Linked DNA regions of Lepisosteus oculatus. The protein of the gene in region 1 interacts with the protein of each later gene in a biochemical or structural test. Links are inferred from orthologs where the notes say so. Each region holds a gene or a part of one and is shown in the gene's direction. Other genes may lie near its edges. The genes, in order: tjp1a, kirrel1a, jam3b and jam2a.

Evidence for each region.
Region 2: the proteins of tjp1a (region 1) and kirrel1a form a complex in vitro, tested with the Homo sapiens proteins (3 studies listed by BioGRID and IntAct, with this or other methods). The link is inferred for Lepisosteus oculatus from reciprocal best matches to the Homo sapiens genes TJP1 and KIRREL1.
Region 3: the proteins of tjp1a (region 1) and jam3b form a complex in vitro, tested with the Homo sapiens proteins (2 studies listed by BioGRID and IntAct, with this or other methods). The link is inferred for Lepisosteus oculatus from reciprocal best matches to the Homo sapiens genes TJP1 and JAM3.
Region 4: the proteins of tjp1a (region 1) and jam2a form a complex in vitro, tested with the Homo sapiens proteins (2 studies listed by BioGRID and IntAct, with this or other methods). The link is inferred for Lepisosteus oculatus from reciprocal best matches to the Homo sapiens genes TJP1 and JAM2.

The regions. Positions count from the first base shown.
Region 1 is NC_090700.1:47,025,057-47,032,398, reverse strand, and holds the start of tjp1a (tight junction protein ZO-1), read left to right. Parts: upstream 1-4,341; 5' UTR 4,342-4,610; coding exon 4,611-4,777; intron 4,778-7,342. UniProt on the Homo sapiens protein: TJP1, TJP2, and TJP3 are closely related scaffolding proteins that link tight junction (TJ) transmembrane proteins such as claudins, junctional adhesion molecules, and occludin to the actin cytoskeleton.
Region 2 is NC_090699.1:8,109,171-8,116,320, reverse strand, and holds the start of kirrel1a (kin of IRRE-like protein 1a), read left to right. Parts: upstream 1-4,129; 5' UTR 4,130-4,486; coding exon 4,487-4,625; intron 4,626-7,150. UniProt on the Homo sapiens protein: Required for proper function of the glomerular filtration barrier. It is involved in the maintenance of a stable podocyte architecture with interdigitating foot processes connected by specialized cell-cell junctions, known as the slit diaphragm.
Region 3 is NC_090718.1:7,930,979-7,938,265, reverse strand, and holds the start of jam3b (junctional adhesion molecule 3B), read left to right. Parts: upstream 1-4,282; 5' UTR 4,283-4,336; coding exon 4,337-4,385; intron 4,386-7,287. UniProt on the Homo sapiens protein: Junctional adhesion protein that mediates heterotypic cell-cell interactions with its cognate receptor JAM2 to regulate different cellular processes. Plays a role in homing and mobilization of hematopoietic stem and progenitor cells within the bone marrow.
Region 4 is NC_090708.1:26,495,844-26,503,019, forward strand, and holds the start of jam2a (junctional adhesion molecule 2A), read left to right. Parts: upstream 1-4,174; 5' UTR 4,175-4,482; coding exon 4,483-4,534; intron 4,535-7,176. UniProt on the Homo sapiens protein: Junctional adhesion protein that mediates heterotypic cell-cell interactions with its cognate receptor JAM3 to regulate different cellular processes. Plays a role in homing and mobilization of hematopoietic stem and progenitor cells within the bone marrow.

The DNA.
Region 1 (7,342 bases):
TGATATAAATTCATTGCCGGTTTGGAGCATGTACTGTACATGCTTTCTGCTTTGGCTAGGGGTCAAGATTTTTGACAAACTAGATTTCTGTTGCCATCATCGATATGCGTGAAAGAAATAATGATCATAAAGTCAGACGTTAGATTCTAAGACCAGGAGAAAGTGACAGGAGTTTTGCAAGGATTCAAGATTCACTGACATCCCATCGGGCTCTGGCGTCAGGTTCTGTGTTTTTGAACAGAATGGTTAATAAACGTCTGCCCACAACGTGCCAAGACCTGTCCAGTAAAACCCCAGGTCTGCAGGGGCTCCAGGGACAGCTTTAGCCCGCAGTGGGGGCAGTGTCCATTGACTTGCATATAACCCAATAAATATACTTGAGGAGTGCTAAAATATAATCTGCGTTCGCATGGGCTCTGTGAAAGCAGTGGTGTGTGTAAAGGGGAGCACAGTGAAGATGGAACTGTTATCCCTGGGCCAAAAAGGGCGCAGTGGAGGAGGATTAGTTGGTAGACCAGCTTCTGAAATATTGGAGTGAAGGAGCATTTAAAAAGAAAGGTTGTCCTGAGAAATTTGAGCTTGATAGCATTTTATTTATTTTGACCTGGAGCAAAAGCTGCAGTTAGAAAGAACATGGCACAGAGCGAATTTCTGCTTGAACTTTGTCAGTTGCCCACTGTTTGTGTGTTGCACAGGATTAAGATTAAAGATTTGGTTCAGGGTATTTTGGACAAAGGTATAACCTGTATGTTTTTTCCCATCATTATCCGTTAATTTTTCTATTATTTTGAAACCTCTGAAACCTATTATTGTCAGTATCTGTTATGTCATACTGTATATGATTGGCTTTGACCATTTTTACAACCCTAGAAAGCAGAAACATCTTCTAACTCTCTTAGCTTAATTTTGTCACATTTAGCAGCCAGGGGCTGTTTCCTTATTAGCTGTGTCTTTACAGCACATCAGGATGGCACATCTGTACTATGGCTGGTGACATGGGCATACTGGATACAGTATATTGATTTAATAAGGAACATCTTACAGGCTTATGGTGTTTTTTATGAGTAAGTGTCTATATAGCTGACAACATCTACCTTATAAATATTGTAGCACTCTCGGGTTCATGTGGGTATGCGCCCTTGCTGCTGCCGCCTCAGGTCGGTCCCCAACTGCTGGGGACTCGAACGCGCAGCCAGTTGAGCTAAAGGGAAATCTCCCCTCAGCCCGGCAGCTGCGGTCCTGCTTCACAGGGGTGGGCTGACGTCACCGCACTGGTAAGCCGGCTCACACAACCTGCAAAAGCGGCCATATGCGTTACAACATTATTTAAAATGCTGTGAAATCTAAAGAGATATCACTTGTGAGAATAAACCTATTCAGTCTTCCACTCTTCCTTTCATAGGGAAACTAGGCTGTAGTTGTCTGCAATAACCAAGTGACAGGATTATTACAGCTATACACTATTGTTTTGTACTGTATTGATTAGAAAAAAAACGTTTCTTTACAATTCATCCCAAAGTGCAAGATCGCTTAAATGTAATAACTACAGATATAATCTTTGTGTTGCAAATGATTATTAATCATGCTATGGGGCAGAACCATATGATTTATGACAGGCAGGAAATGAATTGCTTGAGATGGTTGCAGCCTAAGGAAATCTCCACCTAATCTCAAACTGCAGAAGCTACAACATAGAAAATGTTAAGCACAAAATGTTTACACAGATGTTGGTTGTTATCAGTACATATATATATATACGCACTTTAAATATATGTACAGTTTATATAATGTGAGCAGCCCATGTGGCTGGAGACCAGGTCCAGGTAGTTGTGCCGGAACCTTGAACTTGAACTTTACTGCCATATGTAACCGGTACATGTACTGGTAAAATGGAATTCTTACTTTATCAATCAGTGCAAGTGGATGATTGGGCTGGATTTGCACAATGAAAGAGTCCCTTCAAGCCCTACCACTTGCTTTTGTCCATTTCCCTGTCCTGACTCTGAAACTACGAAGTAGGAGCTCAGCAAACAGGGATTTGCACTTTTTTCCCTGTACAGGGCCCAAAGTCCTTTCCAGCGCTCCCTCGTTGTGGAGAAGCCCTATTTGGCAACGTAGCGCTTCATCCTCCCTCTGAGGTCCACAAGGGTCCTCTCCTCCACTCCCCACTCTGCGTTGTGCTGGAGGAGAGTCCGGTCCTCGGCCCAGGCGAATGTGTCCCTGCGGAGCTGGAGATTCCAGCTGACTGATCTCCCTTCCATCCTCTTCCTAACGTCTGTTTGTTCTTGATGATGTGGGGCAGGGCGTGCCTCAGTCTGCTGGCCAGTAGCATGGACAGGATCTTGACATCCATGCAGAACATCGTGATCAGCCTCCAGTTCTTGAGGTCTGCGGTGTCCTCCCCTTGAAGAGTAGGGAGATGACGCATACCCTCATGGGTGTCTCCAGGTTTTCACTGGTGGAGATCTCCTGTTCCACCTCCACCAGATCTGCCAGAAGCAGGTGTAGAATTCCTTGGGGAGTCTGTCCGGCCCTGGCACTTTGCCATTCTATATGGACCAAAGCGCCTACTTCGGCTCCTCCGCCGTAATCGGGCCCTCCAAGTCCTCCCTCACCTCCTCTGGCACTCTTGCTTTGAGCCTCTCCAGAAAAGCATTGCCTGCTTCCACCTCTATCTGCTTTTCTGAAAAGAGTTCTTTGTAGATTTCAGTCGTTGATTCTGGTTTGTCGCCCTCTGAGGCTGTGGATGATTCTCTTCTTCTAGGCACCCTGGACCTGATTAAAGAAATAGGAAGAACAGGTTTCATTATTTTCTCTCTTGGAATTATATCGTGCTTTTCCAAAAAGAGATCCCAAAGCACTTCACATGCAGAAGGGGGATCCACGTCATCCACTCTGCTCCAGCAGCCCGGCTGCACTGCAAATCAGGTGGGGAAGTGAGAAAATACTCCACCAAGTCAATTAAGGAGAAAATAATCGGGAAGATCAGATTGTGCAAATCCAAAGTGGAATTAGCCGGGGTAAACATGCCCACTCTTACAAACAGTGTCCTGGGTGTTCTGAAGACCGAGTAGGCACAGCTTCCGTTTAACAGCTCATCTGAAGGACTACACTTGGGCATTGATTTGCATTTTATGGTCCAGAGGGAGGAGTGTCCCAACACCATTTACAGCAGCACCCTTCCTCAGCTGCTGAGGTCTAACCAGATTTAGATACAGTGTGGTGTTGCTGTAACACGACTTCTGCACAGGTTTTGCAACTGATCTGATTGGAAGAGGGGATTGGTACCCTTACTAACGTAAAAAAAAACATTTTGGTCTTAGATGTAATTGGCTTGGTAATCTCACAATCCACTGTTGGATCCGTCAACAGCGATTTGAAGTCGGACGTGTAAATTAGTTAATGCAGATGTCTGACTCAGTATCGAAGCGCAAGAGCACGTCACTGTTTTCCTAAGGCAGAGATTGTGTCTATTAATTTATGTCTAGCCCCTGAAATGTATTTTTTGTAGTCGCACACATTCACGCATATATTTTCATGTTTGAAAGGAATCCATTTTACAAGTCAGATTAGCCTCCTCCCTTTTTCCTTCATCATTCCTTTTTTTGCGGTAGAACAAAAAGAACAAAAAAGTACCTGGACCTCAGTGTTCTTTCCAATTAGCACAGCTCACAGCTCTCAGCCTGTGTTTCTATGGAGCAGCTCTGCTGTACCATGTTTACAGCCCTGCACATTTAAATAAGGGTTGTTTGAGAGCACTAAGCAGATTGCGAAAGGGTTAGCTGGTGGCCATTGATGAAATGGCACAGAATTGTGTTTTTGTTTCTCAGTGTTGATACTGTTTCCCCATTTTAAGGGAGCTAAGAATAGAGCACACACCCTGAAGAGTGTAGCATTTGATGCAGGTTTGTTTGTGCTCCAGGAATTTGACTCTCCAGTCAGGAGTGCTACCCCCTGCTGGTGGTGAATGGGGTACAGTTTGTGTTCCCTTTATTTTCATGTTTATTGTGCTTAAGCCGCCGGCTGGATGCAGCACAGCTCAGTCAACATGTGGATGCCTTAACAAGTGGGAACTCTGATAGGTTTCAGTTGCATCTCTGCTCGCTGCTTCTTCTCCCAAGCGGCGAGCAGTTCAGTTCGGGAGACCCAGCACGTGCTCACCAATTAAATACCAGCTGCTTCTGTTTTTTTTTTTTAATTTTCCAAAAAGGACACAAGCGCTCTTCTGTCCAGGAGCATCTTCTGCGGTGGGAGTGTGTGGGGTGGGGCGGGGGGGAAAAAGAAAAAAAGAAAGGTCTTTACATTATTCATTTGCATCTTTTCTCCCTCTCTCTCTTTCGCCTACCTCACGCACGGACGTTCAGCGCCGCGGCATTGCGAGAGTTTCAGCAAAAGTGCTGGGAGCGAAAAAACAATGTTCAGGTCCTGCCTGTAATTGAATGGATTAGCAATCTATTCTGAGAGCTAATGAGATTAAAGTGTCATTGTTGACATGGGGCGCTACAGCGTGGCACCTTTTGTTGAGCTCCTTGGGGAGTGTTTGTCCTGTCAGTTCCTCTATGCTGGAAATGGCGTTCTGATGCTGAGCAAGGGAGACGCAGAAGAGGCGGATGCCAGGGAATAAAAATTGCATGATTACCTACGCTGGCTTGTGGTGTGGAATTGTAGAAGCGGTGGACAAAATGAAATATCAGAAATATCTGACTGTTCTGCAGATGGCTTTGGGAGTGACTGCCTCCAACAGAAACAACCTCCTTCCTTATAAAAGACGGATGTGGTGAGTATGCATTTCAGGGGATAAATATGGGATGCTGCCGGGGAGAAATATACTGGCCGTATCAGTGTTATCTAATGATGAGAGGGATGCACACTGCCATTGTGCTCCATTCACACTGCAGAATTGGCTTGTTAGCTTTGTCGGGGAAGGCGACTCTATCATCTTTTGTTTGGATAAGATGCAGACACGAGCCTGCCTTTCTGTTTCGTGCTGCAATTGTTTTAATTGCACAGATCTGGAGGTCTACATGCAGAAGGCAGTGTGTTTGTCTGCGTGGGGGATCTGAGCAGGCACTGCCCTTTATTAGCAACTAGCATGCATGATATCATTCTTCTATTTTTATTATTAAAATGGAATGTTAGGAAAATTGTTATTTCTGCATAACGCTGTACATTCTGGCTAGGAAATGCAGTAATTGTTTCTAATAAGGTGGATGGTTATTTGAAAATCACACAATAGAAGTAGAATAGCATTCCATTTTAATGTAATGATCAATTCTTTGTATCAATTATATCTGCACATTAATATTTTCCATAACATAAATCAATTGTATATGTACCTGTGTATATACACTTGCATTGAAATGTTATTCTTTATTAAATACGTGTTTAAAATGCAGGCATATCGTTAAGTTGAAAGGAAATTATAATGCACTGCTGTCTTAAAATATTAATTCATTCTGTATTAAGTTAATCTGAATAAAATATGGCATAAAAAAATTCTAGTGTTTTTCTTCATTTGCTATTTTTATTTAGTTTCAAAGGTTAAATAAAGTGAAACAGTTCTTGGACTGCACACTCACTAGTCTCTTTATTAAAGCATTACAATAATAATTTTATAGTTGTCATCTATCTATGTATATAGCTATATCTACAGTAAACATTATAATACATGCTAAGCATAATAATTCTTGTATTTAAAAAAACAACTGTATGAGTCATACTCACTAATCTAGAATGATCACACAGTTGTGGGAAGAAATGCTTTTCGCTTAACAAATTGACATTTGCTGTTGTTTTTTATGTTTGGTATAATTTACCATTTCCAAATGTTTAATCTAATCATTTAATCATTTAATCATTTATTTTGGTGCATTTTTTAGTGTATTTTTAGTGTATTTCTGTAAAATGAGAATCATTATTACAAATTATTTCTGTAGACAAAATTCTATTATAAAATGTAATGTTTCTCACAAGAACATATTGTTTAAAGGTGAAATTTCAAGTGTAATTATTCTGTGTACAGAAAATACTGACAGGTGATCTGATACATACAGTATGACCAACAGGTTTTATGCAGGCATATCTTAAATAATATCTGTGATCAAATATCCAGGATAAAGAAGTAGAATATGAAAGAAAAGGTCTGGAAGGCTGATTTCCCAAGGACTGTTGGGAAATTCGTGAGATGTGGGTCCTCACAGGAGCCTGTCATTTCTGATCAGGAGCAAACGTTGACAGATTTATCATTGTGACACTGTTTCTGTAGGAGCCCCTGGGTCTTAACACAGGTTTGGATAAAGTTTATTTTAGGTTCTAAAATATTCTTAAGGAATAATGAGAGGCTAGCAGATTCTGCTGTGAGTGGGTCTAAACTAGAAAGCCTATTGTATGTCAGCTTCCAATAATGTATGTCCAGATGTCTGTTTCCAGTTTGCAGCATAATGTGGCCGTTGTTAAATGATGCGTGAATTCTCCCCTAACAACATGTAATGATCTGATTGTTACCAACAAAGAAATATATTACCAGTATTTGATCACACATCAAGGACTTTTGCAAATGCAGTCATTATGTTATGTGATCGCATACAGTATATACAATGGGCTTTGACTATGAGCTTTTATGTTATTGGGTGATTAACAGCATCCACATTACTTTGTTCAAAACAAAATTAAAATGGCTATCCCAGCAGCAGACCTTAAATGTTGGTGGTCATATTTTCTTTCTTTATATTTATTATTTTTAAATCAATTTTTGTCATGAGTTGTTTTTATTTTTAAATTAGCACATCCCTCCTCTGCTGCTCATTCTGATCCCCTATTTTTAATGGTTCATATTCCTAACTGGGCAGATTACTATTCAGCAGGCTTTTTACAGTCTTTAACTTGAGGTGTGTCCAGATCAGGTCACCAGAAGAGTGAGTTCATCAGGTCTCAGCACTCTACTGCAATAAAGGAGTCCTTTGTACATCAATGCAGCCTTGTTGTTCTAGAGTAGAAACCAGGGTGGGTAAAGTGAATGAGCTACTTCTCCAAAAACAAGCCAATCCTTCCAAGGCACAATGAAGGCAAATTGACAGCCAACGCAACTGAGTAAGGTCACTCTGCTGTGCCTCAATAAAGTGCACTAAGGGTGGAGGGGAGATTTTAATTTCCTTTACGCTTGTCACATCGATTTCTGTATGTCTACACACTGTACATAAACATACTGCATATAATGTTCAAAATCAGATCTTGAGCAGTATGCCTTACACTCAGTGGTCTTTGAAGATAGAAAGACTCTTATCGTGATGAAATTCTGTCTTCACCACTGGTATCACACAAACGTAGACGGGTCATGAGAAAT
Region 2 (7,150 bases), on another chromosome or scaffold:
ATTAAAAATCCCAGGGCTTTCCTCGAAAAGAGTAGGGGTGTAATCCCGGCATCCTGGCCAAATTTCCCATTGGCTCTTACCACTCATGGCCTCCTAATAATCCCCATCTCTGAACTGCTCTGCTCCCCACTAATAGCTGATGTGTGGTGAGAGTACTGGCTGCCGTCGCATCATCCAGGTGGGGCTGCACATTGGTGGTGTTGGGAGGGAGTCTCCATTACCTGTAAAGCGCTTTGAGTGGATTGTCCAGAAAAGCGCTATATAAGTGTAAGCAATTATTATTAATAATTATAATAGAGCAACAAGATCTGGAGTGTCAGTTAAAGGAATTAGCCACCAGAGGGCGCTGGTCAGACACTTCACATGCACGCAGGAACGAGGTAATTAAAGAACCGGTGTGAAGCCAAATTCGCTATATAGGGAATTCTAGAGTAATCGGTCCAGGTCGGCTAAGGGGGAGTCAGGTGGGTCAGCGAGAGACAGAGCTCACGGGGAGCTAGACCACACCGGCCCGACGAGATCCTCGCTGTTACGGGGAGAGCAGGAACCCGAGAGCCGGTGTGGTCTGAGGAACATCAAGCACTGCAAAGCCCTAAAGTCTCTGCTAAGGCTCTGTGGCTTGAAACAGAGTCAAATCATGGCTGACCTCCTATAGCTAAATCACCCCGTAAAATACTGACATGAATTACATAGTTTGTTAGGTGCTGTCGTTCTCCACGAGGCTGCAGTTGGTTTCTTCGCGTTTTTCGTTCCACCTTAAATGCTGCGGCTGTGATGTTATGCCACCTTTCGCCTGTAGGTGGTTCCCTACAGTCATTTTTAAACGTCCTCATCCAGATGGATTACTGTACGTATCCTCAGTAAAGGGGAATATGTAAGTGAATAGTGACTGTCCAAATTTGCATTTTGGTATGAAACACAAATTCAGAAAAGCGATACCCAATTTTCAAAACACAAACGGGCATGTTAGACATGAGCAAATAAGACAAAGGCAAAACGTGAATTCACCGGCACTTTCTGCATATTTACCACGACCTTGCCTTCTGATCATTAAAAGTCTCAAAATCCTGCAGTTTACAATACATTTTAATACAGCAATTTTAAATGGGGGCATTGAGAACATGGCATATGAGAATATATGGTTCACTGAGGATGAGCAGAGGGTGATCACACTTGGTGCTGTAAAACAAATCTTAGCCACGCTGCTCGCTGGAATGAATGAGTCATTAAGACGTGTAAAGATTTTTTTATGAATGAGAACGTTTGTGCCAGGCCATATTGATAAGCTGTCGAACAGCCTTGTTTTAGCAAATGGGTGCCAAGAGCTTTGTCTGCAACTCGATTATCTCACGGCATAAATCTGAGTCTCGTTTTTTTTCATGAATGTTACGGTGTGCTCTGAAAATTAAATGGCCACGAGAGGGAGATAAAAACCATCCTTTCTGTGTCTCAGAGCGTTTTTTAACCTATTATTACTAATAATACTATCATTAATATTATTATTCGTAGTAATAGTATTGTTGTTGGCTGTGATGATGATGATGATGATGATGACGACGATGGTGCTAGAAATATTCCTGACACCGTTAGCTCATTTTGAAGGTTAGGATGATTGACACAATGACATCAGATTTTAGAAATGTCGATATTTTTTTTTGTCAAGGTATACGTGTTGTTTCTCTACAATAAATGTTTGCCAAGTAGTGGTCTCCGTTTCCCACAAGAGCCTTTGCCCATAGAAATCGCTACAAATTTAGACATTCAAATTGCGTATTTCAAGACGCGCGGTTGCGCCGTGCTCTTGACTTGACTAGAACTTTATTGCCATATGTAACCGGTGCTGGTACAATGGAATTCTTACTTACAGAAAAGTAAGTAAGAATTCTTACTTACTCTTCCACTTCCTAGCCCTGACGATTCCAGGAATTTAATCATCGAGTTTACGAAACTTGTTTTCACATTATATTTGTTGATTTTTTTTCTGCCAACATATTATCGCGCTTTCACGCGAAGCCGTCATTTGGGTTCAAAGTTACACAAAACAAAACTGCCAGTTCTTTCACACCCTCCTCTCCCAAATGACTCCCGCGAGCCTAAATCCCACACAAGAAATCGTGGAAGTGGTCGAGAAACTAGCGTTCACCATAATTCATCAACATTGGCATATTTATCACGTTCGACAGACGTTAGTTGTCCGGGGGAACGGACGTGGTTCGTCTGTGTCTGCTGGTGTTTCACTGTTGATTCGGAGGATATCTCGGTGCCCCTGAGGACTTTTAAAGACGACCAGCAGATCATCTCATGAGTCTTTATCAAAGGCTGGAAACATTCAGCTCCTTTAGCTTGTCCACGTAGGACACTGTTTCGGGCTCTGGGATGTTCAGTGTGTGGTTGCTATTCCCTGGACTGATTCCATATTAATAATGTTTGAAAGTCTGGTAAGCAAATTTGCTTCACAATATTCGAAGTGAGATCTGACTGGGGGGTTCCCCAAATTACCATAACGTGCTTTGATTCTGAGCTTTCAACTAGGTATTTTTTGTTGGCCGTCCTATCTGATTCCCCACTTTGACTTGGAGATTTCAATAACTTGTCAACCGAATTTGTGTCCTATTCAAATTAAGCATGACCCATTATGTGACCAAAGCGTCCAAAATATATATATTTTTTCGCTACCAGCACGTAGTTTTCCGCACTTTTAATGTTAAATTTGCCCGGTCTTGGATTTTATCTTAATCTTTTTGAATTTCACTTGCTGCTTCTGTCGTGTTGGGTAATCGTTTGGGTGTTGTCTGCACACTTGACAATTTTAAGAGGATCTATCACAGAGCAGTGTAAAAGGGCTCCGAAAGTAACCAGACATGGAGCAACACTGGTCCCCAGAACTGGTTCTGGGGTCCTCAGGTCCTCGGGTGTCTCACGGTACATGTTTGACTTCAGTCAAGTTCGTATTTGCTGGCTAATTGGTTTCTGTTTTCTGTGTGTGGCATATAGTTTCAAATTGGGTTTCAGCTCCTGAAATGTTGAATGGGGTTTGCCATTGTCATTAGCCTGAGGTTCTGAATTTCCTTGACTTAGACTTGTCAATGGGGAAATATATCTAATTGGGATTCTTCAGAAAAGATAATGATTGCAAATTGTTGAAGTGTGTGATAGTCACACACACACACATTCCCACATTCCCACCTGTGTCTGCTCTTTGTTAATTGATCGCTCATGAAGAGCTGTTAAGTCAGACATTAGGAAGAAAAGCCGAGCGGAGATTGCATCGTTCTGTAGGCTCCAGCTTTTGATAAAAGGAAGCCGGTATTTTTAAAACCTAGGACTGACTGCAGAAGCCGGTGAGCTAAACGCTAAATAACCAGGCAGATCAATTAAAAGGCATCCGTCAGTTCCACTGATTAACAACCCAACTGGAACCAAAAACAGATAAAGACAGCGCTCGCCTGGGACCAGGGTTGGGGGGTAGGGAACCAGCGACCAAGAAGGCCAGCAGAAATGTTGGCGTAGGCAGTCAACAACAATAATCTTCCTAATTGGGCGAGACTCCTTCCGCATTCCTACTGCGGGCAATTTGCGCGGCGTTCACGACGGGACACGCGTGTTGGCCCTGCACTTTCACGGGGCCATGGCCAGATTCCTGTGCCTTAGGTTTCTGACGCGATTTCTGTGGGATTCGCCGTGCTTTACAGTGGAGTTGTCACCGAACACACAAGACGTTGCAGCAGTAAAAATAAAGTTTAATTTTGGAGGGAAAAAAATAACATTTGGTTTAACTCAAGCCTCGTGTGCCTGTAGCTGTTATGGATTTTGACAAAGAACGTACAAGCATCATTAATAAATGTTTTGTCTAGTTTCGCGTTTTATTTTCCAGATTGAACTCTTTTCATGCGCGTTGACAAACACGCTAAATCGACAAGTATCGAGCCAACCCCGAAAATAACATACTGGATGATCTCAAAGAAATTGTTTGCTTCTGTTTTTTTTTTTTTCGCTAGGGGAGGGAATAAAGAATATAATTTTTCATGCCGGTGTCAACTCCAGAGGCCGCGTTTCATAAAAAAAAAGGTGGGGCGAACGTTCTTTTTCCCCTTATAAAAAAAAAATGGAAAAAAATCGTCGTTTTGCGGCTGTTAGCTGTGCCGTGACAACAAAACCGCCCGAGGCGAACTCGGAACACATAGCTGGGGCACAGACACGCGTCTTTTCCTTCTGCAATACCGAATAACGCCTCTAGAAAGCACAATGAGCCCCCCTTTTTTTTCTTGGAAAACACAAAACTGAGATTGAGAGAGGGAGAGAGAGAGGGAGACAGGGAGAGGGAGAAACGGAGCGCCAGCGAGCAGTTTCGCAGAGGCTGGGATTGGGGGAGTAGCGGAGTCGAGGAGTTCTAAGTTTGCGACGCAGATTCCTTGAACTGGGAAAAAAAAAACCTCCCCGTTATCAGCGACGAGGGCCCGTTAAAGGCGAAGGGAAATACAAACAAATGGGACTTGATGCAGTTTCTACTTCAAAGCGGAGAGCAAGCGGACTGAGGATTGAGGGGCATTTTATGGAACTTCATGACCCAAATAAAGCCATGCTACTCTTATGGATTATAACTTTCGCTCCCAGTCTACAAAAAGGTAAGACTAAGGCTTTTTTTTTTAAAGAAAAACTCCGCCGTTTAAAACGCGAGTATAATAAAAGTTTGTGGGCATTGCCATATTTAGCCAGTGATACTTTTTGCGTGGATTTGACTTTGTTTCTGTGGGCACATAACGTTTTTCCTACAAAGAAACCGAAGCGACTGATAAAGCCTGTATCGTGCAGCATTCCATTTGGCGAAACTGTTTCTGAGGGGCATACGGCGAGACCAGTCGGGGGGGCAATTCGACATCACCCCGCTAGTTTGAGATTTCGCGTCGTTAAACGAGACGATGACTTTGCGAGCCCGGAGATGTCTCGTTTTCTTAAAAAAAAAAAAAGACGACACGCCAAGGACTCGACGCCTGAAAACCCCTCACTCTGCCATTGCGAATTCGAATTGCCTTCGCGATTCAGCTAACGGCGCTAGTCCGCGGCAGCATTGCGTAGGACCTGTTTGAATGTTTTTGTTTATTTGTCAACGCCACAATCTGATTTGTGAGTGTCAGAGCCCCGCTGGTATTCATTCATGACTCGGCGATGTATCATGTGAATTTTTAAATCTTTCATCTTTGGGGGGGGGGGTTGAAATGGATTGCGTCTCATTGCTTATCTGTTCATTCAGCAGGCGCTAAAGGTTAGAAATATCGACAAAGCGTGGCTGACAGTAGAGGAGTATATTCTACCCGCCGACTGATTGTCAAACTATGTGTTCATTAGTATATCGATTTGTGCTTTATCTAATGATACCTGTTATGGACGCCTGATCTTCTAAGACAGAAATGGGTTTCAAAACCTTATGGTAGTATTAAATACACCTTTCGTACATGGTCTGCAATACCAGCTCCATCACCCCTTCCCCAGTCAAAATAAACGATGTATTATTGTGTACGTGAATATAAGAATTAGGGTTGGCTGCCGAAATCTGTTTGGTGCCGAGGCAGTCTACTGTGCATCGAGCTCGCCCGTTTCCTCCACATCTGCAGGCGTAAAATAACTTAAAAAGACTGTCGTTTTAAGTTTTATAAGCTCTTTTTCAAGTTGTCCCAAGTCAGTCTTGGGCACACCATCCGCCATCTCCTTCGGTGTCTTTAAAGACGGCATTTGGGCTGCCGGCAGATTTCTGCTGCAGATGTGCTGAGGTTTCTCCACCGAACAGCCGAAGGATTTGAGAAACCCAGCAGGTGAATTTCAGGCATTGTCTCAGGCTGTGGATAAGGCGAGCAATGCACGCTATTATTTAAGAAGTCTCTTCCTTGCAGGCTAGGCAAAGTGTAGCTAATTGGCTCCTATTACCTAAGGCTCAGATAGGAGAGAGGTTACAGCGGAGTTTTCAGCTGGGCTGGTTACATAATTGGCTCTTAATTAGCCCTTCTGTTTCCACCTCGCTTACAACAAGATGAACCTGCATCCTCCTGGCTCAGTTTCGGTAGGTCTCTTTGCCTTTGATTGGAGATATCTGTACCGGAGAGCCACAGATCTTGGCAGTTGTGTTGTAGCTCACTGGCAACGCTAGAAAAAAAAATCGTTGCAGGCAATCAAAAGCAAGCAAATTGAGAATGGGATCGGAAGGCAGTTTTGATCAAATGTGGCAGGGCATGGATGACATTGCTGGGGCCCTGGGCTCAGTTCCATACCTGGGGTGCTGTCTGTGTGGAGTTTGCATGTTCTCCCTCGGTTTGCTGGGGTTTCCTCAGGGAGCTCTGCTTTCCTCCCACAGTCCAAAGACATGGTAGAGGGTTAATTGGCTTCTATGAAATCGGGTTGAAGACGTTCAAGGAGGGAGCAGTGTCAGCATGTGTAGGCAGCAAAGGAACAAGTGAAGGTTTATTCCATTCTGTTCAGCGTGAAATCAACCTTGACCTGCTCCACTATAAAGCTGGCCCTGGCGTGAGTGTGTGTGTGCGCCCAGTGATGGACTGGCGTCCTGTCCAGGGTGTATCCTGCCTTGCGCCCATTGCTTGCCAGGATAGACTCTGGCTCCCCCGTGACTCTCAGTTGGATGAAGCAGTTCGAAAATGGACAGAGGCATCAGGAGTTGGATGCAGTTGTTCAGAGTTCAGCCAGAATGAAAAATAAAGTTAACACCCTAGGGGGAGGGAAAGATAGTTACTGCTGTACGGGTACGCTCTGAGGGAGGAAACAGTATTGCTTAAGATAAGATCGCTTTATTAGCCATATACAATCTCTTGCATTAGTGTCTGTTCACATACCCCAGCTTGCTCTCCATGAGACACACAGACAGGGTGAGAGAAGCTTGGGGTCAGAGTGCAGGGTCAGCCACTTATACGGCACCCCTGGTTAAGGGCCTTGCTCAGGGACTCGACGGAGTAGGATTCCCCCGCCGGCCGTGGGATTTGAACTGGCAACCTTCCAGTCACAGCTGCAGATCCTTAGCCACAGAGCCAGGGCTCTGCCCCATGGAGAAAGGGCTTCCACACAGGGACAGCCAGTCAAACTGCAGTGCCTGGCGTGCCTGAGAGCTCCAGTACGTGAGAGCTCTGATATCCCCAGTCTTGTAGCA
Region 3 (7,287 bases), on another chromosome or scaffold:
AGAAAACTCTGACTAGCTGAGTAACCCTAGACACTGACTATCCATGCAAGTAATTTTCTAGTTTAGTTTGAATTAACATGTTCAGAATTTTACAACAATAGAAGTAAAACTAATTGATCTTTAATTACTTGATTTGGTTTTGTCACTCTTTGGATGGCTGGATGCAACATTAACAATTCCAATCAGTGTGTGTCTTGAGCAACTGTTGGAAAAGTTTGATTAACAGTCTATGAATATCATTGCTTCCTTTATACTTTCATTAAGTAAGTACAACTGTGAACTGCTACCTCCTGTGGAGGCTCTGATGATTTACTTTTACAAAGGTTTCTAGTGAGTGACTTTCTTCCATACTAATATTATTTAATAGACAGATTTCGATTTAGATTCCTTCAGTCTGTGGCATGTTGGCATTTTCTTTCTTAGTAAACACCTCAATAAACACCTTAATATATATAAACCATTTCCTTCTTATTGTTTTTACGGTTTCTCATTTTTATCTCAGAGACACCTCATTCTTTATTTTGCTTTTGCCTCTGTAATATTGAAAACTTTTTCTGATTTTATTACAGCCTCCATTACAATATTATTTTCTATTTCTCTCTTGACCTTTTTAAAAATCCTTTTTACCAGTGCATTAAGTTCATTTTGTTCCTTCTTTATGCTTGAAGCAGAATATACAGTATTTAAACTGTGGGCATCCTTTCTCTGGATCTCAATATCTATTTTATCATATCTCATTTCTTCATTGTCTGCTTTCCTGAAATTGTAAACTTGGTTTTGGACTCTGCCAGCACACTATCTGCCAGCACAATATCTCAGACATGACCAGCCGATCCTCTGCAGGAGAAACAGATACATTAAAGGTGCTAGTTATCAGTGAGTAAGAGGTCAGCTGGACCTGAAATCAGCAGACAGGCTTTCAGCAGGCTCAGCGCTGAAACTACTGATCTGGGTTAGTTCCTTGTCCTTTGATGCTATTTTGTTGAGCAGTGCCATCGTCTTCACCTTTTTCAGCTGCCTCATCTTCTGAACGCTGCGTATCCACTCATGCTGTATTCATTGCCATTCTGTTAGCAGAAAGTTTCGTGATTCCAGTTAAGTCACACACTAAGGCAGCCCCTTCTTCTTCTTGGATTTTGTTCCTAATGATAAATGGCATTTAGGTTCACTTCACGAGCACTTAATTACCCAGTCCTTTGCAGTTTTGTTTCTCATGTGAGTTTTCTTTGTGACTCCTCTCCCTCTGCTTCTCCCCTGCTGACACCATCCTCATTCTCCCCACTGCCACTCTCCCTTCAATGTTTTTGAATTTCTCTGTCGATCCTTGCCTCAGGCCAACAGATGCCCCTCTCACTCAGATGCCACCCACCGTGTCTGTGCAGATAACTTGTGTCACAGAGAGGTTTTCCTAAGCCTGAGAAAGTTGGAGCATTTCTCGGGACACTGTGTCATCAGCCCTGTGCTGTGTCGACAGATTAAGATCTGCAGTTGTTAGCCTTCCCATGGTGCGAGCTCTGAAGAAGCCACTACACCTTTCATTTTGAGGCTTTTTGAATTTTTTTCCCACAAGGAAAGTGTGTTCGTTTATGCAAGCATACTTTTCCCAGCATGCAACAAAAAACTGTTTTTTACCTGCTCTGGCAAAGACCCTTTCTACAGTTTATAAGAACTGAAGACTGCATACGTACCTGTTTAATTCAACTAATAACGTTATCACTCACTCATGTCTATTTTAATAAGTCGTAGTATATTTACATTTTTAGTTTTATTTCTCTATCACTGGACCATATCATCAAAGTTTAATCAAAACATTTCATGATCTGGATTTAACAGAGCTATTTTTTAAATCAGTAAAATAGCGCTTCCTGAAATGAAGTATAGGTCTTGTTTGAAGTCACAGGTGTGCCATTCCGGAAAATATTTCAAAGGCAAAATGTAAAAAAAAACAACTGTATACTGTATACTGAACATAATATTGTGAAAACTAGTGAGCTCAGTGGTCAAAGCAAAAGTTACAAAACAAACAGAATCTGTGTTGCAAGAAAATAATGAAATGCAATGCAGGCAATAATTCAAAGTACCAGCTTAAGAAAACAGCAGGCCCCTGCCAAACCAATCATGAATGCTGGAAGCAAAACCGGAGTGAGACTGATGGCAAAACCTACCATACTAAAATATTTTACATCACAGTCTTAAATGAAATATCCCCAGAGTATGCCAACATAAGTCATTTCTATAAACTGCCATTAGAGCAAGATTGAGCAGCTATTCTTCTCAGTGCTGGATTTCCTCCAAAATTGAATCAAGTAATAGATCAGTGACAGCTCTGAACAATCAGTCCAATAATGAAATTGATATCTACAGTACCTTATTCCTTGCAGAATATATGTTAATAAACTGAAGTTAAAAGAAGAAATATTGAAAAAGACTCCAGATCCCAATGACAGAAATAAAAAGCTGGTACAGACAACTTACTTTGGTGGACATGCTTAATTAATTTTTTAAGAGCAAGAAATTCTTTTTTCTTAGTATTCTTATCACATCTGTCATTAGGACGTTGTATGGAAGCAGTTTAAATTTTTTAACAGGTAGCTAAAGAGATGGTAAAATCTGTGTTGCAGGGCAAAAGAACCCAGAACATAATATAAGAAAATTAAATGTGTCGCAGCACAAGACAGACATTTAAGTTTTACTGTAATGAGAGAGACTACAGTACATTTCTCACCAAGTTCCTGCCCAAGAACTCTTGATGTCTTCACTGCAGCTTGGTTTTAATGGTCTATGAACATGATATACAGTACTGTTGTACTGTACATTTGTGTTAGATCTCACTAATCTGGTTAAAATATTGCTTTGTTCTTCAATTATTGACTAGAGCATGTGCGTCATTATTTGCATATTTTATTGTTTTGATCAGTTCTCATTGGTCAGCATCTAAAACATGTTGGGTGTGTGATCTATTCCCATGTAAAACCTTTCTTCTTCTACAAGCTTTGATCAATAGTTTTGATTAAAGGTGTGACATTCAAACATAGAATTTTCTTTTTTCTTTTTACTTTCTCCTTTTTTTATTTTCTGCTGGAACATTGACATAGATAAACACTCAAAATGACTAAAAGTGCTGAATCCGACACAAGAAGTATATTTACAGCAAGCTGAACAAATGTAGGACACTGAAGAGGAAAGATACACAGGTGATGCTGCTTTTTCACTGACAGATCCATAAAACACAAGGACTGTAGGTCCTGCAGGTTTTTAAAACACATCTTGTACAAGATTATATAAAGAATGTGTTCTGCATACAGAATTTTATCATTTTATTGTGCTAGTGGCTGTGTGGAGATTAAATCCATGTGAGATTCAAAGAGCCTTTCAAAAATACAATGGGACAGAATAGATATTGAAAGATATTGCTCATCACTTCATCCCTGGAATATGGATTTTTTTCCAGTCTGGCATTATTTGAAGACAAGTCAAATTATTGCTTAGGCACAGTGTGCCTGAGTCTATTGCTGGTTGCAGTTTAAGGCCGACACCATTTAACTCTGGGGGTGAAATGAATCTCATATACTGTATACAGTTTCTATCTTCTATATTATGACAGTAAGAGTACTAAAAATTATACTACCTTGATATAATTAGAAGTGATTATATATCTTTGGGTAATGTGCTTATCTGTCTACTGTGTCATTGTTTCAGCAGAAATTAAACATCAAAACAAATAATTGAAAACTATTGATTAAAGTAGTTTATTGAAGAAGAATTATAATTGGGAAAAGATCACACACCTTACATTTCTGAGGTGCTGTCCAATAAGAATTGATCGAAACAATAAAATAAGCTTGATGTACACTCTCTGGTCCATAATATGAAGATTATGAAGATTAAGCTATGAACTAGGTTAGTGAGATCCGCTAGGCATCTATATAAATGTAAAGAGCCTGCCACTTTTTTAGACCTTTGAAACATAACTGCGGGCGAGAAAAATATTCCCGCAGGAAGAGGTTAATACTTGACTTTAAGAAAATGTCCTGTAAGCCCCCTAAAAAAACCTTTCATCAGCCAGTTCGTGAGAAATGTCGTCTAAATAATTTACAGCACAACTATAAGACGAAAATCAAGAACTGTAACGGTAAAAACCACTAATCCTGTTTGGGAGGGGAAAAAAAGTAAATTTTGGGGAAAGGCTGTCCTTAAAAACGATGCGTGTAGCTATGGAAACTCTCGACAACAGACTCTCCCCTCCCTCTCTCCAGTGGTCCTCCCTATCATCTGAAAGCTACCCCCTCTATTTTGCGCATGTACGGGCAGATAATCCATTGAGCAACTCAACAAGATGGCGAAAGCAAGGCTGGCAGGATTTGCGATCCTCTTCTCTGCACACTGTGAGTCTATGCAGAAATGGGCTGTTTCATGTATTGAGCTGTAACGTTATTTTCTTCTTTTCCCCTCTGAACTTTACCGTCCTTTCTCTGTGGGGTGTGCGTTTCCATTATCCGCAGCTACACGAAATTGGTACAAGAACAGCTAGAAAGACCCAGCTATAGAGCTTTTTTTTTTAAATCAGATGAACTCAACGTGGGCTGCTTATTGTTTTATTGTTGTTACAATTAGCTACCTATTCTGCTGCAAAGCTGAAGAGCAACGCAAGTGTGCAGTGATAAAAGCTGTCTTTATTGCAGCTTTGGGTTTGGGGGAAGATAACGGTACATACTGTACCGTTCAAGCAATATTCGCGAGATAACGGGACACCCTGGCTCTTATTATTAATATGCTTTCCCAAAGGCGAAGAATAAATATCTGCTCTGAGCTGTACGTTACATTTTGAAATCTTTGGGTCGGAAAAAAAAAGTAAAGGTGGCGTTTGCTTGCTTCTTAACTTAATATACAGTATATATATATAAACTCTGAAGTCCGGATGTGAGACGGGTGTTTCGCCGTCTGTTTTCTGGGGAACCTCAGCTACGACGACGACCCCCCCCCCAAAAAAAGTTTTGTCGGGTGATTGGTAGCAAGACGTATTTGGCGAATATCGGTGACTGCGTGGTTAGAGAGAGCTCAAGCTGGGACATTTTCACGCGTGTTTTGAAGCCGGGATACGCGGAGTACACGGATAAAACTTGGGAGTTGAGAGAAAGAGAGAGAGAAGTGGGAGAAAAGTTGGTGCGAGGGATGCAGGATAACGGCCGTGCGGTCGGGAGCGCTGGCTGGAGGGGACGGTCCGCGGTCCGGCGGGGGTCGGCGCCTGGGCGCACCGCTCCCGCACCGCCGCACTGCCCCACCGCCGCTCTGTGAGACAGCAGGACTGAGCCAGAGCCGGCATGCGTGATCAGACAACAGCGTGGCCGGTGCGACAGCAGGCTGTTTCAGTCCATTTCAGTCACTCCGCCCCGCAGAGATCTGTGTTGTTTTTTTGTATTGTGGCAAATCATGTGGCATTTGTAATGCAATATAAAAATATCATTAAAATATTACTAATATAATATTGAAATATTATGAAATACAATGTAAATATTTTTCACTCACTATTGTTGTTGTTGTGGTGGTGGTTCTGATTATTATTGCAGATCACAGTGACGGGCAACACAGTAGTTTGCCTTGTTTATTCTGTTTTGTAGTTTATTATGAGTTTAGAAGGAATAGGTGTTTCAATAGCATTAGAAGAATAAATGTAAACAACGCACCAAGGTGTCCCTGAAGTACAGCTTCTCACTGTAAATAGTGTAAAGTTTAAGTGTTGCGGCTTCATAAACATACTGTATCTTGAGGTCGTGTGCTTTAAAATACTTTTAGCTCTGATTCTTCAGTGCAGCTGTTAATCGGAGCGGGTAACTGTACTGTAGGTAGTCCCATCTATAAATGCCACCCACGCCTTTAACAGAATTAGAAGGAGAGATGAAAACTCAATCAACTGATTATACCTCTCTCTAGCAGGGCTATGCTGATTCTGAAAAGCCTACTGTGCATATTTACAAGAGTGAAAATGTTATTCTTGAGGGCTTTCTAGCTTTGACTTTCATGAAGAAAAAAACAGCATAACATACCAAATGCGTCACTTTAATTTGCTTGCCGCGAAGTGGGTTATCTTGCTGCTTAATAAGCAACAACATCAGTGGCATGAAAATTTCTTGTGCATTACAGTCCCTAACTCTGTGTGTTGATGCCGCTAAACAGAAATGTTGGTTCTTGCCTCGTTATCACCTCGTAATTAACGTCTCGACACACCAAGCAATGCAATAACGAAGAAGCTGATGATCTGTGTCATTGGACTACCTAAACGAAGCAGCGTGGGTCGTGTGTAGGAAATATTGTTTTTACTACAACTACCAGTGTAATCAGCTGGTGCTTGTTAATTACTGTACATCTGTCATTTCAGTATTGTGCAGATACTCTTTAGGGTAGTCTACCCATTTATAGCACTAATGAAGGCTGAGTGAAAGGATAACTCAGACATTAACAGGGAAGTCAACTCAGTGCTCATTGAAGCTAAATATGTTTATATTTTTATCTATAACAAATATGTATAGATATTTGAAAACCTGCAAACTTTAAACAGTAATACAAATTTGTATGTGTTTTGTAGGAGTTTGAAAACAACTCTCAATGTTCATTTAAATGTTGTACCCTATATTCAATTAGGGACATTCAAATAGCCTGAAAAATTAAATACAATATCTACAAGTAGATCAATGATTCAGCAGTTGTTTGGCATGACTTTCTTTTCCTGCTTGCTTTGCATCTCTTAAAATAACCTTTGAAGATATTATCATTTTAAAAAGAATTATCATGCTTTACAAATGGGGCTAGAAGCTTCTTTTCTAACTTCAATGATCAAAATAATGTAGGCATGAAAAGCCCACTTTAAACTTAAACTTTAAACTAAAACAATATTGACGGGTTCCTTTTTAAAAAAAAATGTTTCAACAGTGAAAAAATCCTTTTGCAGCACAGTTTCTGCTGATCTGTCTTCAAACATGGCGTGTGGAAAAGCAAGCCCACGTTGTTGCTAACAGTAATTTTGCAGAAATGTGTCCATTGTGGGTATCAAGAGCTATTGTGTTAGACACTCTAAAATATTTTTTTTAAATATAGTTACTGAGTCTGAAATACTTTGGCCATGTGCTCATAACTTAAGATTCAATAGCCGAAAGAGCTTCCCTGCTGTGCTGTGCCATTTTTATGTATTTTTCCTGCCAGGGAAAAGGAATTAAAGATGAAGCTGTTTCTGGGTTTCGTTATGTTTGTTATGACACTGTGGAGGTTACTGCTTCTATTGTTGTTTAAGAT
Region 4 (7,176 bases), on another chromosome or scaffold:
GCGTTAGGCAAGAGCCCCTGCTTCATGATCATCCAAACCAAACCTGACTGGAGCTCAGTATTTGACCCTTGCTAGAGAGAGCATGCTGTTCTGTGTTTTTCGGGAACTTGGGTTTCCTGAGTAAAAGATACCTTGGTTAAAGACGTATTCCCTGCTGTGGGCGCATTTGTAGAATAGGGAGAAGGGCTCCCATTTATTTTGTGGCATCCAGATTTGCAGAGAGGAAGATGTACTGTAACTCTTACTGTGCCTCTCTGTGGGTTTTATTTAAGAGTTCAATACTTTGTAGCAGTCTGTGGTTTTCTGGGTGATCAGGATTTTAGGCCTCTGAAACACCTTGTCTGTAAATACTGTACATATAGGAGCTTGAATGTTGCATGTTTGTTGTGCCTCTAGTGTTTGTCTTGTAATTGTTAATAAATATTAGTTTAACCAAGTGTGCCTGGATTATTGCTCTTTTCACCAAAGCTGTGCCAAAATTACAAAGAGTTCACGTGCCTCTAATTATACCAGCCACTCACATATATTCTGGAAAATCACTTACATTTCGGGGGTTATGATTATTTATTTTACTTATTGACTAATTCACTTGGTCGATTCCTGATTTTCACCATTTTCATAACCCCCTCATTTGTAACAATATTTCTATATTACATAGTACTATAATAATAGTTCTATACTATATTGTACTTGTATATGTATTGCGCCGTTCTGCACTGTTCTACATCATATATCATGTGCTGTGTCATACTATCATAGTGCAGCACAGTCCTAAGCAAGCATAATATACTACATACTATTTTCATTACACTGTATACTACTAATAATAAATTTTATTTATATAATGCCTTTGAAAGTAGCATCTCAAAGCACTTTACAGTAGGTTTTAAAACAGTTACAGCAAAAGAAAACAGTTAATTCAGGATACAAATTTAAAAAAATCCTTATAAGAAAGACAAGTGCTCAACAGTTCAGCAGAAGATACTTAATCATTACATTATGGAGCAGACACAGACACTAATTTAAATAAAAACCTTCCTTAAAAAGAAGGTCCTGTGTCTGGATTTGAAAGTGCTCAGGGAAGGTGATTCTCGGATTTCCTTGGGGATAGAATTCCAGAGCCTTGGGACATAGCAGGAGAAGGCCCTGTCCCCCATAGAATGTAAATGTGATTGGGGACATATAGAAGACCAAAGTCAGATGAATGAAGGTTGTGAGGTGGGTAGTAGACAGATAATAAGTCAGATAGGTACTGAGGTGCCGAACCATTACGAGACAGCCTTAAAGGTGAGCGTGAGGATTTTTACATCAGCTCGAAATGTGATAGAAAGCAAGGACTCCAGAAGTGAATATATACAGTGCCTTGCGAAAGTATTCGGCCCCCTTGAACTTTTCAACCTTTTGCCACATTTCAGGCTTCAAACATAAAGATATAATTTTTTTATTTTATGTGAAGAATCACCAACAAGTGGGACACAATTGTGAAGTGGAACGAAATCTATTGGATTTTTGAAACTTTTTTAACTAATAAAAAAATGAAAAGTGGGGCGTGCAAAATTATTCGGCCCCTTTACTTTCAGTGCAGCAAACTCACTCCAGAAGTTCAGCGAGGATCTCTGAATGATCCAATGTTGTCCTAAATGACTGATGGTGATAAATAGAATCCACCTGTGTGTAATCAAGTCTCTGTATAAATGCACCTGCTCTGTGATAGTCTCAAGGTTCTGTTGAAAGCGCAGAGAGCATCATGAAGACCAAGGAACACACCAGGCAGGTCCGTAATACTGTTGTGGAGAAGTTTAAAGCCGGATTTGGATACAAAAAGATTTCCCAAGCTTCAAACATCCCAAGGAGCACTGTGCAAGCGATCATCTTGAAATGGAAGGAGTATCAAACCACTGCAAATCTACCAACACCTGGCCGTCCCTCTAAACTTTCAGCTCAGACAAGGAGAAGACTGATCAGAGATGCAGCCAAGAGGCCCATGATCACTCTGGATGAACTGCAGAGAACTACAGCTGAGGTGGGAGAGTCTGTCCATAGGACAACAATCAGTCTTACACTGCACAAATCTGGCCTTTATGGAAGAGTGGCAAGAAGAAAGCCATTTCTCAAAGATATCCATAAAAAGTCTCGTCTAAAGTTTGCCACAAGCCACCTGGGAGACACCCCAAACATGTGGAAGAAGGTGCTCTGGTCAGATGAAACCAAAATCGAACTTTTTGGCCACAATGCAAAACGATATGTTTGGCGTAAAAGCAACACAGCTCATCACCCTTAACACACCATCCCCACTGTCAAACATGGTGGTGGCAGCATCATGGTTTGGGCCTGCTTTTCTTCAGCAGGGACAGGGAAGATGGTTAAAATTGAGGGGAAGATGGATGCAGCCAAATACAGGACCATTCTGGATGAAAACCTGTTGGAGTCTGCAAAAGACCTGAAACTGGGACGGAGATTTATCTTCCAACAAGACAATGATCCCAAACATACAGCAAAATCTACAAAGGAATGGTTCACAAATAAACGTATCCAGGTGTTTGAATGGCCAAGTCAAAGTCCAGACCTGAATCCAATCGAGAATCTGTGGAAAGAGCTGAAAACTGCTGTTCACAAACGCTCTCCATCCAACCTCACTGAGCTCGAGCTGTTTTGCAAGGAAGAATGGGCAAGAATTTCAGTCTCTCGATGTGCAAAACTGATAGAGACATACCCCAAGCGACTTGCAGCTGTAATCGCAGCAAAAGGTGGCTCTACAAAGTATTAACGCAAGGGGGCCGAATAATTTTGCACGCCCCACTTTTCATTTTTTTATTAGTTAAAAAAGTTTCAAAAATCCAATAGATTTCGTTCCACTTCACAATTGTGTCCCACTTGTTGGTGATTCTTCACATAAAATAAAAAAAATTATATCTTTATGTTTGAAGCCTGAAATGTGGCAAAAGGTTGAAAAGTTCAAGGGGGCCGAATACTTTCGCAAGGCACTGTAACTAGGTACCCCAGCAAGTAGGGCGTTACAGTAATAACTTCTTGGAAAGAAATGTGTTAATGAGCTTTTCTGCAATAGTCAAAGATAACAGGACATAATCTGGCACTATATCTGAGATGGATGAATATTCTGCACATGAGGATCAAAAGTCACTGCTATATTCTTAAATTTAGATTGAAATTCAAGCACAGTGCCATCCACAGATAGGGTTACTACATCTGTTTATGTAGGTAATAGGTGATGCTGAATACCATGACCTCAGTCTTGTATGAGTTTAAGAGAGGGGAATTTTGAGTCATCCAGGTTCTTACTGCATATCAGAGATGAAATTAGAGAGGGAAGAAACAGCTACTTCACTGTCAGGTTTACTATGGACATAGATTTTAGTAATTTATCATGAATTACGAATTGATTTTTAGGACCATGTGATCTTAGTATCTGACCTAGTGGGAACATGTAGATGCTGAATAGCAGACAAACTTAACGAACCCGACTTCACAACTGAAACCCCCAAGAGAAAGAAAAGAATGTCAGCGATCAAAAGGTAAGAGTGGAACCATTTGAGAGCAATGTCAGAAACTCCAAAACACAGTCTCAAGACTAGAAAGTAGAAGCCATGGTTAATAGTGGCGATAGCAGCAGTGAGGTTTAGGAGAATACAAATAGAGAAACGGAATCAGTAGCCATAAGAAGATCGTTAATGACTTTAACCAGAGCAGTTTCTATGCTGTGTAATTGTCTGAAACCAGATTGGAAGGGTTCAAAGAGGGTACATTTTTTGGAGTTAAAAATGTTTAGCTATTCCAGAGCCATGTTTGTTTGTTTTTTGGCACAGGCGAATCGTTCTTCATTTTACAGTATCACCATACTGTACATACATCATACATATAGAGCACCGTATACTGTACAATACTCCCAAAGGCGTGATGTCACCCCACAATAACCACCGACAGCGAAACACACCTGTTTGATGTCAACACTACAACTTACACTACAAACCTGCCCGGCTCTGGGTCCAAGTGTTGATACTTCTGGAAATCAGGAAATTGCCGTAGAAGATCATCTCGGAAAAAAAAAAAACTACGTGATCCACAGGATTGCTTTGATGGGGTTAAGTTTTACGATCACTAGGACCCTGTGGAGCCCTCCTACGCCCCCCGCCCCCAACCCGGGAGAAACAGTTGAGAGAGCTGCGGGCAGGGTCTACTCCACAGTAACACCCCACCGCTGACAGACGGACGCCGGAGAAAGGGAGAGTGCGCCCCCAGGACTGCTCGGGTCACTCGCAAACGCGGCGAACCTTACTCCGGAGGGAACCCGAAAATAAACTTGTGGGATAAAGAAGCCGGGATTTCAGACTCGGTCAGCTATAGGAGGAAGATTAGTTCGTTTTCATTGTTTCTTTTCACACCAAAGAGTTCTGCATATTTATTAACTTTCAGCACATTTAGCTAAATTACGGGAGAAGTCTGTTTTAAACGAACTCTGTGAAGATGGCGAGTTTGCAACTGGTTTATCTCTCAGCTTTTCTACTCTTGCAGCACTGTGAGTAACAATGATTACTAATTATTCTCTTTCTTCTTATTCGAGTTCATTCTTTTACGGAAATCTTGATTCCAACGCGTGCCGCTCCTTCTACCCCGTTATTCGGAGCTCATGGCCAGGAGATGTTGCGTATCAGTATCTTCGGCGTCACTTTCCAAACAAAGGCAAACTTTCCCGTGATTTTCTCTCAAGTCCAGATCTGCAGTTTGTCTACGTAGTTTCTCTCTTCTGAGATTGTATTGTGGTCCTCTGAGAACAAAAAACAGCGTTCCGTCTTTGTTCATGAAGTCCAGTTGACACACAGGGCTGCCTCAAAGAGAGAGCCGTATTATGCATTTTCCCGTAAGTGCTTTGCATAGTGGATGGGGAGTCGCACTGCAGATCAGGTGGAGAAATCGCGTCACCACGAAGGAAAGATTTGGGGAGGCCAGAGTGGAATTTAACCCAGGACTATGGGGTGAACATACCTTCTCTTACGAGCAGGATCATTAATACTCAAGCTGGCAGGACCACCGTTTAATTGTCTCCACCAAAGAACGTCGGCTCTTATAGCATGAGATTCCTGGGCATCGTTCTGGGGTTTGTAGTCGAGAGGGGAAGAGCTCCACCTACTGGTCCACTGTGTCATTTATTAGTTGTAGTAAATTACTCTTTGTGTGTTATCCAGACTGTATGACTGCACAGTGGTGTTGTGTAGCACAGTTGACAGCATGGTGTTTGTCCGTGTGTCGTGTGCACAGGTATGTAACTTTCCTGGGACTCCGGCTCCCTGGTGTGTTAGTGATGTACTCTGCATCTGCTGCATTTTAGTCAGTCCGCCATCGAAACTTACTTGTGAAAAGCTGCTGAGGCACGTTGTTCAAAAGTGTCAGTCTGGATGCCGAAAGAGGTCATGTGTTGCATGGCGAGCAATATCTATATAATATGTAGCTGTTCTTTGCACGCTGGCAAAGAACGATCACCTACTGTATTTAAAGGGTCTGACACAAGCTGCCCTGGTTTCCTTCAAGAAACAACTGGATGAGATCAGAGCTCCTCACAATCAAACAGGCAAGGTGGGCCGTTGGTCTCAACCTGTTTGTCGCGCCTCTTCGGTTTGTCAGTTTTGGCCCAGTCTTAATCTCTGCCCACTGAAGTGTCCCTCAGAGTTCGCCTCACGGGGAGAAGTCAGAGGTGCTAATTCAGGCTCGGTCCAAGTCAAGTCCCTGTTTTAGCTAGGTAGTTCCCACAAACGCGTTCTTATGTTTTCAAGGTCAGTGTAGCTGTGTGTTCCAGAGAAGATACAAATGTTAAATCCAGAGTGACTGACGTTCGAGAGAGTCAGGTCAAGGTTCCAGCGTGTGGAGTGGCTGTCAGGGAAGGACACACTCTTGTGTCTTGTGTTCCGTAAACAGCACTTCCAGTCCCAACAGGGCTGAGGCAGACTGTAGCAGCGGTCACTATGGAAATTCCCCCGGTGACCGAGGAGACCCGGACCCGGGGCGACACTCGGTGGATGCATGCCGAATTGGTGCAGTTCTCTGCCAGCAGCTGCGGCTCCCCTCAGACCCGGGGTGAGAGGAGTGTGGTGTGGATTACCTTACGGACACAGGCCGGCTTTGTTCTGCCTGGACAGGGGGGTGGGGGAGTGGACCACCTGACACGTCCCAGCTGGGCCATCAGGCTAGTGACTCCAGGACAGTTTGGAGTCGCATTCGGGCAGAGAGCAACAAAACAAGACAAGGGGAAAACTGTTTGCATTCTCCCCCGCCCCCCCCCCAAAAAAGCCCTCGAAGATTTGTCTTACAGCAGGAGACCCCTGCCATATCAGCAGGAATGTGTTAGAACTGTAGGCTGCTGAATCCTGTCCGGAATTGGGTTTCTGCCATGTGTCCCCCAGGACATGTCTGGAAGGAGTCCTGTGTGTCTGTTCTGTGTGGCAGGGCTGCACGTTTGTGGAAAGTCTGGGCAGTGACCACAGTGTTGTGGATTTGGAGCTGCCAAGTTGGAATTTAGAACTGAAATGGGAAGGAAGTTTGAGTCACTTGTCACATCTTTATAGGCCTGACCCGTCTGCTGAATGTGGCCTTTTTGACTGATGTCATATTGGTCTTGTACTTGTCTATTACAAGTCACATATCCGTTGTGGGTGGAAGTGAAATACTTTTCCTTACCCTTTAAGGTCTTGTGGGACCTGCGAGACTATGTGCTCTGCATCTGGGCTTCTGGCCTGGTGAGGCTGCAAAGTTGTGTCCGATGCCGTTAGACTGCAGAATCGAGGTGGACACTGGCCAGAGCTCGTCTCCTGAAGAGCCTTTTGTGAACGACTCGTCAGAAAAAAAAAAACAACTGAATCTCGGCTACGTTCAAGGCACACGCTGTGTAGTTTCACCACACATAATTATTTTCCCTTTGAATTCTAGACTCATTGTAGCAGAATCATTATCCTATGTACGTGTCTCCCCCATCACCCGTGAAAAAGGTGTAAAACTAACAATTTTCTGTAGGCCTGTCTAATAAAACAATATGTAAGGCAACACCCATTCATCCATTTTCTAAATGCTTTATCCAGTGCTTGATAGCAGGGAAGCCGTAGCCTATCTCGGCAAGTAACAAGGAGGGATACACCCTGGACAGGATGCCAGTCCATGCAGGGCACACAA